2 linked regions of the Arabidopsis thaliana genome follow. The protein of the gene in region 1 interacts with the protein of each later gene in a pairwise test. Each region holds a gene or a part of one and is shown on either strand. Other genes may lie near its edges.

The links. Proteins that work in one complex are often made in the same cells at the same time.
Region 2: the proteins of AT1G20950 (region 1) and GSTU2 interact in a two-hybrid assay, tested with the Arabidopsis thaliana proteins (one large-scale study listed by BioGRID).

What each region holds. Positions count from the first base shown.
Region 1 is NC_003070.9:7,294,832-7,305,045, forward strand, and holds AT1G20950 (Phosphofructokinase family protein), read right to left. Parts: upstream 6,803-10,214; 5' UTR 6,506-6,802; coding exon 6,416-6,505; intron 6,130-6,415; coding exon 5,957-6,129; intron 5,857-5,956; coding exon 5,744-5,856; intron 5,651-5,743; coding exon 5,576-5,650; intron 5,482-5,575; coding exon 5,368-5,481; intron 5,282-5,367; coding exon 5,214-5,281; intron 5,133-5,213; coding exon 5,049-5,132; intron 4,907-5,048; coding exon 4,853-4,906; intron 4,665-4,852; coding exon 4,584-4,664; intron 4,489-4,583; coding exon 4,395-4,488; intron 4,302-4,394; coding exon 4,228-4,301; intron 4,140-4,227; coding exon 4,029-4,139; intron 3,938-4,028; coding exon 3,893-3,937; intron 3,801-3,892; coding exon 3,744-3,800; intron 3,623-3,743; coding exon 3,518-3,622; intron 3,430-3,517; coding exon 3,313-3,429; intron 3,215-3,312; coding exon 3,105-3,214; intron 3,020-3,104; coding exon 2,854-3,019; intron 2,750-2,853; coding exon 2,636-2,749; 3' UTR 2,408-2,635; and 1 more. Other genes in the region: AT1G20940 (F-box family protein), read right to left, coding at 443-1,687; emb1507 (U5 small nuclear ribonucleoprotein helicase), read right to left, coding at 7,760-10,214. UniProt on the Arabidopsis thaliana protein: Regulatory subunit of pyrophosphate--fructose 6-phosphate 1-phosphotransferase.
Region 2 is NC_003071.7:12,628,826-12,634,702, forward strand, and holds GSTU2 (glutathione S-transferase tau 2), read right to left. Parts: upstream 2,497-5,877; 5' UTR 2,408-2,496; coding exon 2,087-2,407; coding exon of another isoform or gene 2,082-2,086; intron 1,914-2,081; coding exon 1,557-1,913; 3' UTR 1,373-1,556; downstream 1-1,372. Other genes in the region: GSTU3 (glutathione S-transferase tau 3), read right to left, coding at 1-194, 342-665; AT2G29485 (uncharacterized protein), read left to right, coding at 1,765-1,906, 2,082-2,149; GSTU1 (glutathione S-transferase TAU 1), read right to left, coding at 2,768-3,121, 3,215-3,535; AT2G29500 (HSP20-like chaperones superfamily protein), read right to left, coding at 4,454-4,915. UniProt on the Arabidopsis thaliana protein: May be involved in the conjugation of reduced glutathione to a wide number of exogenous and endogenous hydrophobic electrophiles and have a detoxification role against certain herbicides.

The DNA.
Region 1 (10,214 bases):
ACGGTTCTTTTTTTCTTTTTTCAAAATTCAAAACTGGAGCGTCGTCATTAGTTTTTTTTTTATGTTCTGTTTTTAAGTGTGACGTGGAAAAAGTGAATAACCAATGTTTGTCAACATCCGGAGACGGTTTAGCTACACGAAAGGAAAAAAAAAAGGGGAGAGTTTGTTTTTTGGTCAAAAGGTGTGAGTTTGTTGTTAGATTCGACAAAACACACAAGATGGGCCTTTATTGGGCAGGACGAAAAATTGACAAGCCAGAGAAGAACAAGTTCTTAAACAACATTGTCTTAAATGATTTTTTGTCCCAAAAGAAATAGTAATATACAACTAATTTTTAGATTTGAAATACATAAACCATAATAGTGCAATGATAAAAGCAAATGGGAAACAAACATTCTTATAAATCAGGACATTTTTTGTATAATCTATAGGCCCTAAATGTTTACTTGGTGGTATCAATGAGTCCCATAATCGAATTTATATAGGAGATGCGTCGGTCATTAGAAGCAACAAGCACCTTCTGTTGCTCATCCTCCTCTACAAAGAACAAGGAGGGCGTCAATTTATAGAAATCTCGGACGCAATTGGGCCAAGCAAGGGTTGACACCAAAACTCCCCAACTGTTAGCTTCCATGTCGTACACATGAAGAACACTTGCCAAAGGTTCTAAACCCATCTTTTTCACCCTCACCACAAGACACTTGCCATCGTACATAGCTATGTTCCAATATACAAGCGTTTCTTCCTCGATAGATATGTTCTTGATCCGCCTTGTGAGTGTCCATTTGTGATTCTCGACAAGTGTGTAAACGGAGATTGTTTCTATCGTCCCCGAAATTAGGGTCAGGCGATTGATCTTAACGCTTTCCGCGAAAAGTAGCTTCGTATCCGGTTCCCGATGAAATATGGAAGGAATCAAGCATGCTTGCTCTGTCTCGGGATTAAAAGACATGATGCTGCCATCGTTTCTCAGCCAGTGAAGAGTGTTGTCCAAGTAAACAGGTTTCATCCGCGTAGTGAGATCACTTTTTGAGCTAGTGGTGATACTCGTTTCCGATAATCTCCAAGAGTCTCCTTCGTTGATCTCGAATCCGTATACGTTTTCCATCTCGAGTATGCCCACGATCTTGAATCTCTTGGTTGTTAGATTTCGATTTACCGCAAATCCAACGCACATCGCTCGTTCCGTACAAGCAACATTACCTCCAGGATAACTAATTCCGCTAAGACCTTTAAGTCCACCATTAACTATCATTGGTATAAGCTTTGATCCAGAATGATCCAGGATTCGAAACCTTTTTGTTAAGGGATTTGCAACAAAGAGACAACCAATGTACAATAGGAGAAGACCAGAGCATGAGCCGAAAATGTAACAATCCGCACTACCATCAAACAGTTCTACTCCATTTCCCGGTGACATATAATCGCATGAAGAGACCAAAGGATGGCAACATACATAAGTAGCGCCATAGCTACCAAGGTTAAACAAACTAGGTCTGACCCATGAAGGATATTCCGGTCCAAATCTTGGATCACTTAAATATGATTTGATAGAATTGTTAGTGCATCGCATCATAGCCATAGATTTGGGTTCTAATCTGAAGAGAATCTCGTCGAGAAGGTCTAAAGGTAAATCATTGATGATGGAAGATGAATCAAATTGAGAATTTCTTGGCAAATTATTCATGATTCTATTTTGCTTGGCGTATGTGAATATTTTTGTGTTATTTTCAACATATATATATATATATATATATATATATATATATATATAATAATAGACAACATATTATTACCAAAAAAAAGTAACAATCAATTCTAATCAAGGATAATCTCAGTATCTCACCATTATAAGAAAAATTCAAATACAACATTAATATAAATTTAGTTAAATTTTTGAATGATTTTGCAAGATAATTTGAAAATCAAATATTAATATATATTTTATAGGTTTGTCATTTTGCAAAATAATCTGTTAGTTATTAATTTCATTAGTTGAACAAAGAAAATTTACTAATATAAAAAAATGACAAAATCTAATATCTTTTAATGATAAATATTTCTTAATATCTAAATAATTTCTTCATTTAGTTTCTAATTTTTAAATAACTAACAATGTATTTAGGCTAAAGATAGTTTTTAAAATAAATAAAAGTGTATTTATGCCAAAGCTGTACCTAAGATACTGTCAAAAATCTATCAAAATTTATAACTGGGATTTGGGAACATGACACGTCATTGGTTGTTAAAGTTAGTTTGCAAGATACACTGTATTTCTAGTATTTTGGTGTAGTTAAGATTAAAAATGTAACTCTTAAAATTTTAATGATTCTTTTTGTAAACAAAATCGTGTTCAAGCGATGCTATTGCTATATGCATCATGCATGCATGCCTAATTGTCATATTTAAAAAAAGTTTGTAATAATAGTGAAACTGAAAAATAAAAGTTGGACAAGGATTGATATGGTGAAATAGCGCCTCTATAATCCAAACCTTTTCAATTTTTATGTCTTTCCAAACTCAATAACTTAAAAAATACAACAAAAGTTACATCTCAAAAGAAAGAAAACAAAAAGAAGAGAACAAACACGACGTGTGTGATTCATAAGAGCTTTGTCCTTAAGTTTTAAGCAAATCATTGACCACCATTTGAAGAAATAGTAGTAAGAACATCAGTCACCGAAGCCATCACACTCAGTGCTGCCTTCAATACGTCTTGAGAACATCCTGGTTTCACTATCGTCCTCACCTGACCAAACCCCAAAAATGTTAATAAATATGAAAGTGGCGAAGAACATTATTCGATACTTGACGAAATTAGCAGAGAAAAACACAAAAACAAAAAGTTTTTACTTGGTCAAGATATTCCTGCAGCTTCTTGATACGTCCCATGTAATCTTGATCTTCAACACAGAGACTCACTGCTTTAGCATCCGCACCAGGACCATCGTACTGTAGCGGTCCTGGGTTTCTGTACAGATCTTCCATCAAGAATTTTTGTGCATTCTGTCTCAAGAGGCTGCAAGAAAACCATTCACATTCAAACAATTGATAAATAAGGCCAAACGTGAGTGTGTTCATGTTTTCTGTAATAGCTGACTTACTCGTATGCTTTGCCTTTCAAATCCACCATAGCTGGATGAATTGCAGGTCTACCAATTGAAGTTAAAGTATAACTAGCATCCTGGGACCAATGCTTCACCGTCATCATCGCCTAAAAGGTAATACCAGAGATAAAAGAATGGGGAATTAGTATAGAAATACACTGTATTAACCGCCGTCTTTTAGATAGAAAATACGACAAAACTCAACTGTAATAGGTGTAGCACCACATTTCCACTTGTTCACAGGACTTTTTAGGTTGGTCACTGTTGCCATGTAACCATTCAGACCAGCTGCAAGGATGTGGTAACATATATGTCCAAGAACCTGCATGATTCTCCCATTCAATAGTGTTAATATTCATCTAAATTATGAAGTTGCATTGGTACTGTGGCACAGACTGTTAGTGACTTACGTAGGCGTAATCACAATCGAATTTCGATGGAAGAGATCCACGAGCTTGGTAACCAAAAAAGTGACATATGGCATTGAATTTCTTCCCCTTGTATGTGCCTTCTTTCTGTCAAATTCAAAGATTTCATTACATTAGCAATAGTATTTTTTGATGCCAAATAATGACTCCATTATTTAGATAACAGTATTGGGAAAAGATAGAAACCAATGATAAAATTGGAGCATACCAAGCGCTTGTTCATTTCAGTCTCCACGAGATACGCAAGAAGTTTCTCTGTCTCAATCTAGAGTAGAAAGCAAAAAGAGCATTTAGGATTCCAACTTTTTTTTTATAACATAGTAGGTCCAAAATATTCTGTTTGTTCTTCATAATTACCTGGGATAGCTGAGCAGAATCATCAGACTCAGGATGGAGAAGTAGCTGTAGCAAGAAAGGCGACCATCTTATATGTATTAATACACCTTTGCTTTGAACGAAAACAAAGATAATTCTAATTTCAAAGAATTTGAACCTGTTTCTTAATGAATGGAGGAAGAAATTCAAACAAAGCAGATGACCAAGGTGAGAGCTGAGTAGAAATCTTATCAGCAGATACACCCTGCCTCAGCAGCCCGTGAATTTCCTACATCAAACAAATGTCAGCTTATACGTGATTTATACTAAGAAGTACATCTCAGTATTGAAGAAAGAAACAAGTATCAAATCATTACCTTTAACAGAGCGTAGACTTCAGGAATACTGACTATAAGCCCTTCAGGAATGAGGATGACTCCATGATTCTTGTCTGGTTCAAACAAATGAAATAGTACCAGATTTAGTAAACACAGTAAAATACATGATTGCATAATCTAATCATAGATGGTTTTCATTACGAGACCTTCTACTGCTCTTGCTTGAACAGCATCACAGATCTGTTTAGCAATGTCAAAAATTGTGAGCTTAGATGCTGCAACCTCCTCGCCCAGTATCACCTGAGACAATCGGATGACACGATAATGAGAGTCTAGAGCATGAACATGCCAACAGAATCAATAGTCTATGTTTCGAAACTGAAACAGTTACGAACCATGTTTGGATGAGACTGGAGTGTACACTCAAGGGCAACATGAGAGTGCTTACGACCCATGAGGCGGATGAAATAATAATACTGCAAATAAAAAAGAAAGTAGAACTTGATATCAGAATCATAAAGAATATAACTTTGTAGTAGCTTTCTGCTTTCACATCCTTCATCGAAATATTTCGTCTTATCAGAATATGAAGTTAATAAACTGCAGTTAAGAATGCCCTAGCAATCTCTTGCAACATGAAAGTTCAGGAAGAAATAGCTTTTACCTTCTCTGCAGAAAGGGCATCAGTGCAGGCATTGCTAATGAGTTGTGAGTTCACCTGTATGCCGCAAAATATCATTAGCAAACAATAACATATAGTTTCTGCAAAGACTTACGAGGGACAACGGCATCATGTTGCTGCAATAGCTACAAAAGATAACTAAGACAAAGTAACCAGATGGTTAAAGTTTACATTTTACCTTGCATATGGTGTCAAAACCCACGTTTGCCTCCACAAACTGATTTTTGAGATCTCCATTTGTAGTAACTGGAACACCAACCACCTGTAATTTCATAGGAGCTTAATTACCGTAGCATTTTTATAAAGGAATTTAAAATGAAACTGTAGAAAAAGAAATTAGGACCTTAGTTGAGCATTTTGCAGCAGCAAAAAATTCAGCGAGATGAGCTGCATCTGTGTTTGATATTACGCCTTCAAAAACCACAATATATATTCTTGGTTTAGTAAAAATTAAAGACAAAAATTTGCCAATGAATATAAGTAAAAACGCTAGGTACCTCCAATGATAACAAGGCCATCTAACTTCAAATCTGTGCAAGCTTTGAGTGCAGCGTTAACCTGCTCAGTTGTTTTGATCTGATCCTTAGTTCTTCCGAGCAAATCATAACCACCTTACAACATACATTTCAACACCAATATATCAGAACTTGAAGCAATGAACGGGAGATTCTGCATTTGACGACAATGCCTTGATCAAACAAGTACCTTGGTTTTTGTAAGTCTGAAGTATATCATCTGTAATCTCTAGAGTCTTTTGTGCAAATAGACCCTCGGAACCACCTATTATCAGTCAACAACAAATTTTACTTAAGTCTAACAAAAAATCTCTAAACTGGCAAATGATGCAGTTGTATAAAAAATAATAGAACTTACCCAAAAATCCTAGCAAAGTGCTTTTTGCGTTGTGCACCTTGAGAGCCTCGAAAAGACCCCAGATCACATTATGTCCACCTGGAGCTTGCCTTCCACAAAACACAATTCCAACTCTACAGTAGAAAAAGAACTAACTTAAGCTGAATAGAACTTAAATCAAACACAAACGCCAATCCAGAAACATATAGATAGAGAGCAAACAGATTCACACACCTAACTGAAGGAAGCTCGGTAATGATGTGCGCATCAGGAACTTGAGCAGTTTCCCTGAGGAAGTGAGCCAAAGGCTGGCCTAAGGTATGCGGGAAAGCACGAGCCATGGTATGTGAATCAGCAGCTTCAGCCACAGTGGTTCCATCACCAAGCTCCACGCGGACAGTAGTCCCCTGAAACGAATTTCAAGCAGAATAAGAAAATGACAAAGTTCAACTGATTAAAGCTGAAGAGACTGCCAATGAAACTTAGGAATCGAAATAAAACAGATCCGAGAACAATACAATCTAGAAATCAGATCTGCTTAAGGAGCAAAGTTCATCGAATTAAGATAAACAAAAACTTGGAATAGTTGCAGAAATCCAAGAATGATAATATTGAATAAGAAACTAAGTACTCAAATAAATCCAATGATAGGAACAATGGAAGGAAGTAGATCTATGAAGTAGAAGAAGGGACCTGGAGACAAGGAGGAAGCTCAGGTTTGTACTGAGATCGAAGTTGCTGAAGAGGGGAGAGTTCTCTGGGGATTCCGAAATCTGAATCCATGGCGTTAGGTTTTATGTAGAAGAAGAAGAAGAAGAAGAAGTGGTTGGTGTGGTGTGAGACTTCGAGTGTGACTTTTTTTGGTTCTTGTTAATAAACTTCAAAATATATAGTGAGGAGGGAGAAGAAGAAAGAGGAGGAGGAGGAATATACTACCAACCAAACACCTCCGTTTCTTTCTTTTTGGTGTATCGTTATATGACTTTTTTATGAACACAACAGACTGTTTTGACTACATATTGTTTGGACAAATATTTTGGTTGTGATTTTGCAAGTTTCTATTGATCACGTTTACTTGGTTATAATGCAAGTTTGAATGAATTTTTTTTGTTTGGTTTTTACTTGCAATAGTACATTTTAGTTTTAAGGAAAAACTATCGGTGACTCAATAAGCCAGTATCACACAACTCAGATGTTACAAAATGAACACTGCTGCATTTAAAATTCTTTCAAGTAATCTCAGCTTTCAAAGTCACAAACTCAAATTGTAGTTTTGACATTGGCTCCTCTGTCGAGTTTGGTCCAAACAAAACTAGAAACAAGCCATACATAGGATTAAAAATCGATGCACGACATAAAAAGAGTAATTGGAATAGTAAAAGACCAGAAAAAAACGATTACACCTTAATATATATTCTCAGAGAGCTAAGATTGCAGAGACCCAAACGGTACGGAGGCTTTTTGGAAGACAAGTCACACTCTCCAGAATCAGCATAGCCTGCAAAGAAGAGAAATTATGTGTCATTTTCTGGATTTCAAAATACAAAATCTATTATCAGCTATTTTAAAGGAACATCATGTGAGATTTTTATGAGACATGATTCAAGAAAGCAGTTTTCATATAGCAGTGATGCACACATATCAAATCACCATCCAAAGCACACATCAAATCACCATCCAATTATACAGATTTCTAACAATTTGCTGATCAACATTGTTCACTAACTTATCAATCAATCATTTCACAATACTAGGTATATATATACCATGAGCATACCTGTATTCTAATACCTAGATAAGTAAATCAATGCTCAAGAGTAAAACCTAATACATAGCTCATGCAAAAAGAAAACAGACGAAACAGAAAAATAGCAGATTGATGAACAAATTACTCAAACAATAGATGAAAGCGAGTTGGTCAATGCACATAGCAGAATCTAGTAAAGCCAAGTTCGTAACACAAAAACTACAACCATGTACAGAATCTAAATCCGAAAACTATGACCAGAAAACTGTGGAACTAACCTGAATAACAAATCATTCTTCCATGCGATCTCCAGCGCCGGATCCTTTGACATCAACAGAGAACGAGTACTCTTGGTCACACCCCAAGTAAGAGTCACACATGAAGTATAGTGTGTATGACTTCTCTCCTGGTTCACTCGGTGCTGTGAAATCCAGCTTCACCTTCACTTTCCGTTGCAATGAGACACGCTTGATTGCCAGCAACTGGTTTGTCTTGGTGTCGCCCACGACCAGCCACCATCCTTCTTCTTTGGTCTTGGGATACCTCAGTGAATCCACAGGTCCCACTTCTGTCCTCCCCTCCATGTCTCTCTCAAGCATCACTTGCAATGTAACCTCTTTCCCTGGGTTCACCTCTTCACTGCCCACAATCTCGTAAGTAAGGTCGATGTTTGGGAAGCGGTTGCAGAATCTGGCAATGTCTAGAAGCTGAGCGTCTGACATCTTGAGAAGCTCTTGGCGTTCTTCATCCTCCATCTCCACAAGATCGAATACGGTTTCAATGTTTTTCCCTGGATTCTCCTGGCACCTCTTGGCCAAGTCTTTTGTGAAGTGAGGGAGCTGCAGAAGCATGGAGTCCCGCTCCCACATGCCTTGAGTCACCATCTGGCTTACTTCCATAGCTAGCAGAGCAAGATTCAGCCAGCCATTGCTTGATATCACATCGACCATCGCTTGAAGAAGTCTGGTTGCAGATAGAAGGACATCACGCTGATCCATTGCCAAGTTCCCGCCAATGTTTTGCCTTGAGAAATGCGCCTGAAGAAGCGCGTTTGCCTTCACATGAGGGTCTGTGCATTTTGGGTTTTCAAAAGAGAACCTCTGGTGATTGATTAATCTTCGAACGGTGTCCTCTTCGCCAGGCCGTATAGGAATCATGTCATACTCTGAAGCCGATGTTAAGATTTCAAGAAGTCCCTTCATCTTGGTTTTAGAAGACAACAGTGAACTGAAGCGCTCAATGGTGGTATAACTGATGTAATAATAGGATGCAATCATACCAAGGTTGAGAGGAGAGAGTTCCATCTCATCCTCTACCTCAATGCATTTACTGGCTTCAAGATCAGACAAGGTGTTCTCAACCAGCTCTGATAGGTGATCAGACAAATGCCTGTGGCTAACACCTTGGAGATTGTAGTAGTTAGGGTTCTGGGGAAGCCTCCTGTACATGAAAGTCCATGTAAGATAATCCACGGCATCTTGCTTGTTCTCTATAACCCCAGCAACCACTTCTGCGTTGAAATTATCATGCAAGAAATGCTGGAGCTGACTTTCCACAGGGAAGGCTTCGTACAAAAACTTCTTGTAATACTCCTTCCGCGGTGCATGACAAAAGATCACACACTTCCCGGCATTGTCAAGAAGTGGTCGGCTAGCACGCCCCATCATCTGAAGCAGATCAGGGACTGGATAATCAGAATGTGAATTTTCCCTCCCATCGTAATACTGCGTTCCCATTACGACCACCAAATGCGCAGTTAATGGAGTGCCCCAACACAATGAACTGCTCATCACACAAACCTGAATCCGTCCAGCTTCAAAGAGCTGTGTCACAATCTCCTGATCCAGACTGCTTAAACCCTCATGCAAGTATCCAATACCATGACACAGTGTCTCCTTCAGTGTTTCCTCGCGGATTTGTTCAACAAAAGGGTCCAGTTCTTCCAGCTTCCCTAACAAGAAATCAGGACTCTGCGGGTTATCCATGTGAGAATAAGCCATCAGATCCACAGCAGTCAAGCGGACATGTTTACGGGTTGGGACGAAAACAATAGCCGGCTTCTTGTTCTTGGCGTGCTGAACTATGGCGGTGTAGGTTGGTTTGGTCATCGCCTGCATCCTGGCTTCAAAACTGGATATATCCACTCCCTGAATGTGGATCTCCAGTGGAACAGGACGGACTCCGGGAGGGAAGTTGAAAAGGCCGTGGGAACTGGCCCCAATCCACTCCCCAAGATCTTTTGCATTTGCAAGCGAAGTGGATAGCGCAACAATCCTGATCTTATTAATGACCTGACTTGAAATATATCTCATTCTGGAAACGATTACCTCCAACACTGGACCATGTTGACCTCCAATTAGATGGAGTTCGTCGACGATGAAAAGACTAACTTGTTGAACATATTTTCTCTGTTTCCACCTGCGGGAAAGAGCATCCCATTTCTCAGGAGTACTTATGATTATCTGGCCTTTCTCAAGCAGCTTAAGATCCAATGCTGTCTCCCCAGTTAGCTCAACAACCCGTAAACCAAGACCCTTCCCAAACTTCCCCTCCCAGATACGAAACTGCTCCTTGGCAATAGCCTCAAGTGGTGCAATATAAACAACACGCATTGTAGCATCAGGTCCTTCATGATGATTCCTCAAAATAGCGAACTCCGCACAAATAGTTTTCCCACTTCCCGTTGGAGCAGCAACCAACACATTGTCGTTAGTGTTATACAAAACAGTAAAGACCTGAGTCTGC
Region 2 (5,877 bases), on another chromosome or scaffold:
TCCCAAGCCCGAGCTAGACAAAACGGGATCATACTTCCCACGACCATGTCCAAGAATCCTATCGTCTCTCCGCCGAATAATTTTTTTCCCGTGATTTGATTCTCAAGCAACATAATTAGTTCTTGAACTTCTTCGATTGCAACGTCAATTCTCTTCTCTGATTTCACCAGTGACCTGAGCCCTATCATTGTGACCTACACGGTAGCGATATATAGCAAACGTTTCATGACTAGAATTATGTGCATATATATTCAATGTGACCGGTAGTTATAAGTGTTTCTCATAATTTCTATAAATAACATCTGCAATGAGTTAATAAACGAATTTGTCTTAAGAATTACTTGTTCATCGACAAATTTGGCCCAGAATCGAGCCATGGCTTTGTCATATGGACTTTGCGGTAGAATAGGATTGTTTGTCCATGTTTGGTCGATGTATTCAAGGATCAGTTGTGACTCGGGTAATATTTTACCATTGTGAACCAAAACAGGGACTTTTTTGTAAACCGGGTTGAGTTGAAGTAGCAACGGGCTCTTGACAACCAAATAATCTTCGTCCAAGTAATCGTACGGCACGCCTTTAAGCTTGAGAGCCATCTCGACTCTACGACTGAATGGGCTTGCCCAAGACCCTATAAGCTTCACACCCTCTTCTTTCTCGGCCATTGAATAATCAATCTCTTTCCCTCTTTTTTATTTTTTATTTAACTAATCTTTATATATACTCTCATGTAAATTGTGCATGATTATAAAGGCATAAAGGAAAAGGAAAAGTCTTTTTTAGGCCATTTACTCCAATAATTAAGCATACTTTTCTAATTAGAGTTGTGAGGAACACTTAATTACAAGTTCAATGTATGTACATCATTCATGTGTATCATCCAAGAACATCTAGAAGGTAGTTGTTCATCATTGCCGTCACTTTCAAATGTGTTCATCATTTATCCTCACGCCTAAACATTTCAGCATGTGTTCAAAATATTAAGAATCCTCAAAAGTCAATATTTATGTCTAACTTTGACCATCTCTCTTTTTTTTTTTTTTGATAAATATTCTTTGAACATGTCTTTCATCTTTCACTTCCGATGTATTAGTTTTGGAGAGATATGTTAAATATTTGTTATTTCATTTCTTGAAGAAATTGAGTTACCAATGCTAATACAAAATTGGATAGACTAATAGAACCAGAATATCACTAAACTGAAATACTAACCAACAATACACAATAAACCAATACTAACCAACCATACGTTAATGTTCTTAACTTCTTATCAAACATCATGTAATCAATACCACACATCATGAAACAAATTAACTCATCATCCTATCGAACTTAGATTTACCATCTTTGCAATTTATTTTCCCTAAACCATAAATCAATATTTGTTATTATAGTTATAATAGGTAGCTTTCAACATTTCACTTTGCACCCATTAATTGATTTCCACTACCAATGCAGCTACATTCATTCTTTGTTTCAAATTTTTCAATAACAAAACGATACAAGCTGCACATAGTCATTATTTTAGAACACAGAGTTATGAAGTTATCATTAATTTAGAACGTAGACTTAGCTCTCTCTATAATTTTCTTCATACGCTCAATATGTTTCTCTTTTGGAGGTATACATTCCCTCACGATCTCAACTTCATTCAAGTTCTTGATCCATCTGTTTAATTCTGGAAACGTATCCTCTGGAGTCATATCAATCCCCAAACATTCCCAAGCCCGAGCAAGACAAAACGGGATCATACTTCCCGCAACCATGTCCAAGAATCCGATCGTCTTGCCACCAAAGAAATCTTTTCCAGTGACTTCCTTCTCAAGAAACATAAGCATTTCTCGAATCTCCTCAATAGCAACATCTATTCCCTTCTCTGCTTTTACTAGGGGCATGAAGCCAACTGGTAGGATCTGCAAGTTATTATACCAATCTATAAAAAAAAGTACTTAGAAAATTACTTTATCCTACAAATAATCCTGATATAAATGCTTGAAATGTAATGAACTTCTAATAACTCTCAAGTGTTTCTCATTTATTTTGCAATCAATATTATAAATCAATTTAATTAGTTAGACTAGAGTACCTGCTCATCAACGAACTTGGCCCAGAACCGAACCATGGCCTTCTCGTAGGGATCGTGAGGTAGAATTGGATTGTTATTCCAAGTTTGGTCGATGTATTCGAGGATCACATGTGACTCGGATAATAATTTATCATTGTGAACAAGAACCGGAACCTTCTTGTGAACCGGATTTAGTTCAAGAAGTAAAGTGCTCTTTTTGGGTAAGTCTTCTTCCAAGTACTCGTATGGTACGCCTTTAAGTTTGAGAGCCATCTCGACTCTACGACTAAAAGGGCTTATCCAAAACCCTAGAAGCTTCACACTCTCTTCTTTCTTCGCCATTAGATCTCTCTCTCTGACTCTCTCTGTCACTTTAAAAACAATATTGTGCTTTTTTTTGTAGTCTCAACTCTCAAGCTTATCTTGAAGATAAAAAAAAAAAAAAAGACATCAGTAAGGTAACCAAGTCACTGCTGAGGTCACTTTGGTTATTTTATTCTTATTTCCTTCTAGTCTTGGCTTTTACAATCTCCAGACACACCACGTTATTTGATTGCTGTAACTTTCAAATAGGTTTTTGATCTTTTTACTTAAATATTAGGTCATTCTATTTTTCGAAAAACTTTAAAAAATAAAAATATAAATAAAAAACGATGCAAGCATATAAATCAAATATTTTCGTAGGCAAGAAGTATCTTTAATTTAGGCAGACTTAATTGTCTCTGCAATTTTGGTCATGCGCTCAATTTGTTTCTCTCTTGGAGGAATACATCCCCTCACTGCCTCAACTTCTTCCAAATTCTTGATCCATCTATTTAATTCCGGAAACTTCTCCTCTGGAATCATATCAATTCCAATACCTTTCCAAAGTCTAGCTAGACAAAATGGGATCATACTTCCTGCGATCATGTCCAAGAATCCGATTGTCTTGCCACCGAAGAAATCTTTTCCAGTGACTTCTTTCTCAAGAAACATAAGCAGTTCCCGAGTCTCTTCAATAGCAACCTCTCTTCCTTTCTCTGCTTTTACAAGGGACCTAAACCCTAGTGTTAGGATCTGCAAGTAAAGAACAATATATAAACAAGCGAATAATATAATATTGTTCTGCATAGAATCAACTAATTAATCTGCAAATCAATATTAGTATACCTGGTCATCGATGAACTTGGCCCAAAATCGAGCCATGGCCTTCTCGTAAGGATCTTGAGGAAGAATTGGACTGTTCTTCCACGTCTGATCGATGTATTCGAGAATCAGATGTGACTCGAGTAATATTTTGTCATTGTGGACAAGAACCGGAACTTTCTTGTGAAGCGGGTTTAGCTCCAGAAGCAAAGGGGTCTTGTTGGGCAAATCTTCTTCCAAGTATTCGTATGGCACGCCTTTGAGTTTGAGAGCCATCTCGACTCGACGACTAAAAGGGCTTGCCCAAAACCCTAGAAGCTTCACACTCTCTTCTTTCTCCGCCATTCGATATCTCTCACTTTTTGGTATCTAACTCCTCTGTTTCTTGCACTACTTTTCTTTTTTATGTTTCGTTTACTTGCTTGATTACTTGAGTTTACTATATTCTATACACAAATGAAGTTATGGGTGGTGAAATAAACAAATAAATAAAAGGACCATTTTGCTTTCTCTTTGTCTTTGTATCCAAGGATATCTTGAAGATCACACCAGAAAAGGACTGATTTATATTTTAAGGTATGCACGTCATTGCCAACGTCATTCGTCTTAGTGTTTTAAGATATTTGACCAACACTTAGTGTTTCTAATCTCCAGTCAATTAGCCGACCAAGAAATAACAAATCTCCAAATGATTACGTTCTACAATTTATATTTTAAGATTCATATGTTGAAAAGTTTAAAACTGAGAGATTAATGTATCGACTGTATTTGTAAAACACACAACTTTTTTTGTTTTGAAGAGTCTATTTTTTGGCCAATTCATTGTCTGCCAAACATTTGAAATGAATGACATTGTAAAACAGAAGAAATATTCAGTTATCAAACAAAATGTTAATCATTTTGAAAGAAATGATGTAATAATCTAAATCAAAATATAACATTTATATAATGTGAACCTTTTCAGTTTTTGGGTTTGATTCCGTCTTGATTCACGGTATCGGTTGATTTGGTTTAGTTAAACCGAAATCGAACTCTAAGCGAAATCATCTCGTCGGTTAAACTTCTTTTGAATTTAGACAAAGGTTAATAATTATTATTTATTCCATACTTCATTAGGATCAAATGTATCCGATACATCATAATTCATAGCTCAATCGGAGATTATTATAATTTAGATAGAGTACTCACACACTCAAGTAAAACATGAACCATAACCATGACAAAAACACAAGCAACTCCGATGATAAAACTCGAACCCATTACTCAACCAGAGATCTGAATAGACTTAACATCAGCCTTCTTAGTCTCAGCCTTAGGCACCGTAACAGTCAACACACCATTCTCCATCGCAGCCTTAACCTGATCCATCTTCACATTCTCCGGCAACCTAAACCTCCTCGTAAACTGTCCACTCGATCTCTCCACACGGTGCCACGTGTCATTCTTATCTTCTTTCTCCACGTGTCTCTCTCCACTGATCTTCAAAACACTATCCTCCTCAATCTCAACTTTAACTTCCTCCTTCTTCAATCCAGGCAAGTCAGCTTTAAACACGTGGGCCTCAGGCGTCTCTCTCCAGTCCACACGTGCGTTCACGATCGCTGAGTTCTCACGAGAAAGTGATGATGATGTTAGTTCCTTGAATGGATCCCATACGTCAAGAGAGAATGGATCAAAGATGTTGCTTCGTCTGTTGTTGTTGAAGAAACTTGGAATCATCGACATTTTAAAGAATTTACTTTTTTTTTTGTTGATATCTTCTTGAGAACTTTGATTTTTCGATTTCTGATAGAACACACGAAGGATTTTTGAAGCTATTTAAAGGTACTAACCGAAATTTCTCGAGCTTCTCGAGTTGTTATGGGGAATACAGAAACATCTAGAGGACGTCTATGAGAAAAATCAGGTGAATCCAGAAAATTCTAGGAGCATTTTGAAGATTGTTTGTGTTCGTTGGGTTTAATGGGCCTTCATGGGCTTTAGACAAATATGTAGTCTTCCAAAAAAAAAACTGGATTTCTACAGATTATCCGGTTCGACTGGTTAACCGAATTAAATTCCAAAATAATTGGACTCTAATCACACTATCCATAAAATCTAAAACATTTTCTTTGTTAATCTGAAGCATTTAAGGCTGTCTGAGTATTATGGGCCATGGGCTTTAAAAGCAATTGTATAACGTGCTGAATTGAATAGAATATTACTAAAAACTGGGCCCATCTAAAGGAGGATTAAACAAATCCAACGGTGTATATTGGACATTGAGCTCCACTAAGTAAGTAGGGTCACAATGACGTAACTTCCCGCGTTCATTACGGAATCTTGAGCGTACGATTCTACTATTGGGCCCATCTTTATAAAAATTATACTGTTTTTTTTACTAAATCCGTCGGCCACAAAAAGATATGTTTTTTTTTTTTGGGAAAAAAAAAAAACAACTTCGACGAAAGACTCGGCGAACAAAACACACTCGCTTCAACAACTCTCTATCTCTCTCTACTTGTCACTCTCTAATCTACACACAATTAACAAAGCTCAATCTCTCTCTTCTCTTACTCTCTACCTCTGTAGCTGATAGGGTCAGCTTCGTCGGCGCTATTTCTGCCGGATTTCACGGACGATTTGAGATCTGTTCTTCCTTCTTCTTTTTTCCTCTCCTGATCTGATTCAACTCTAATCTGCTTCAG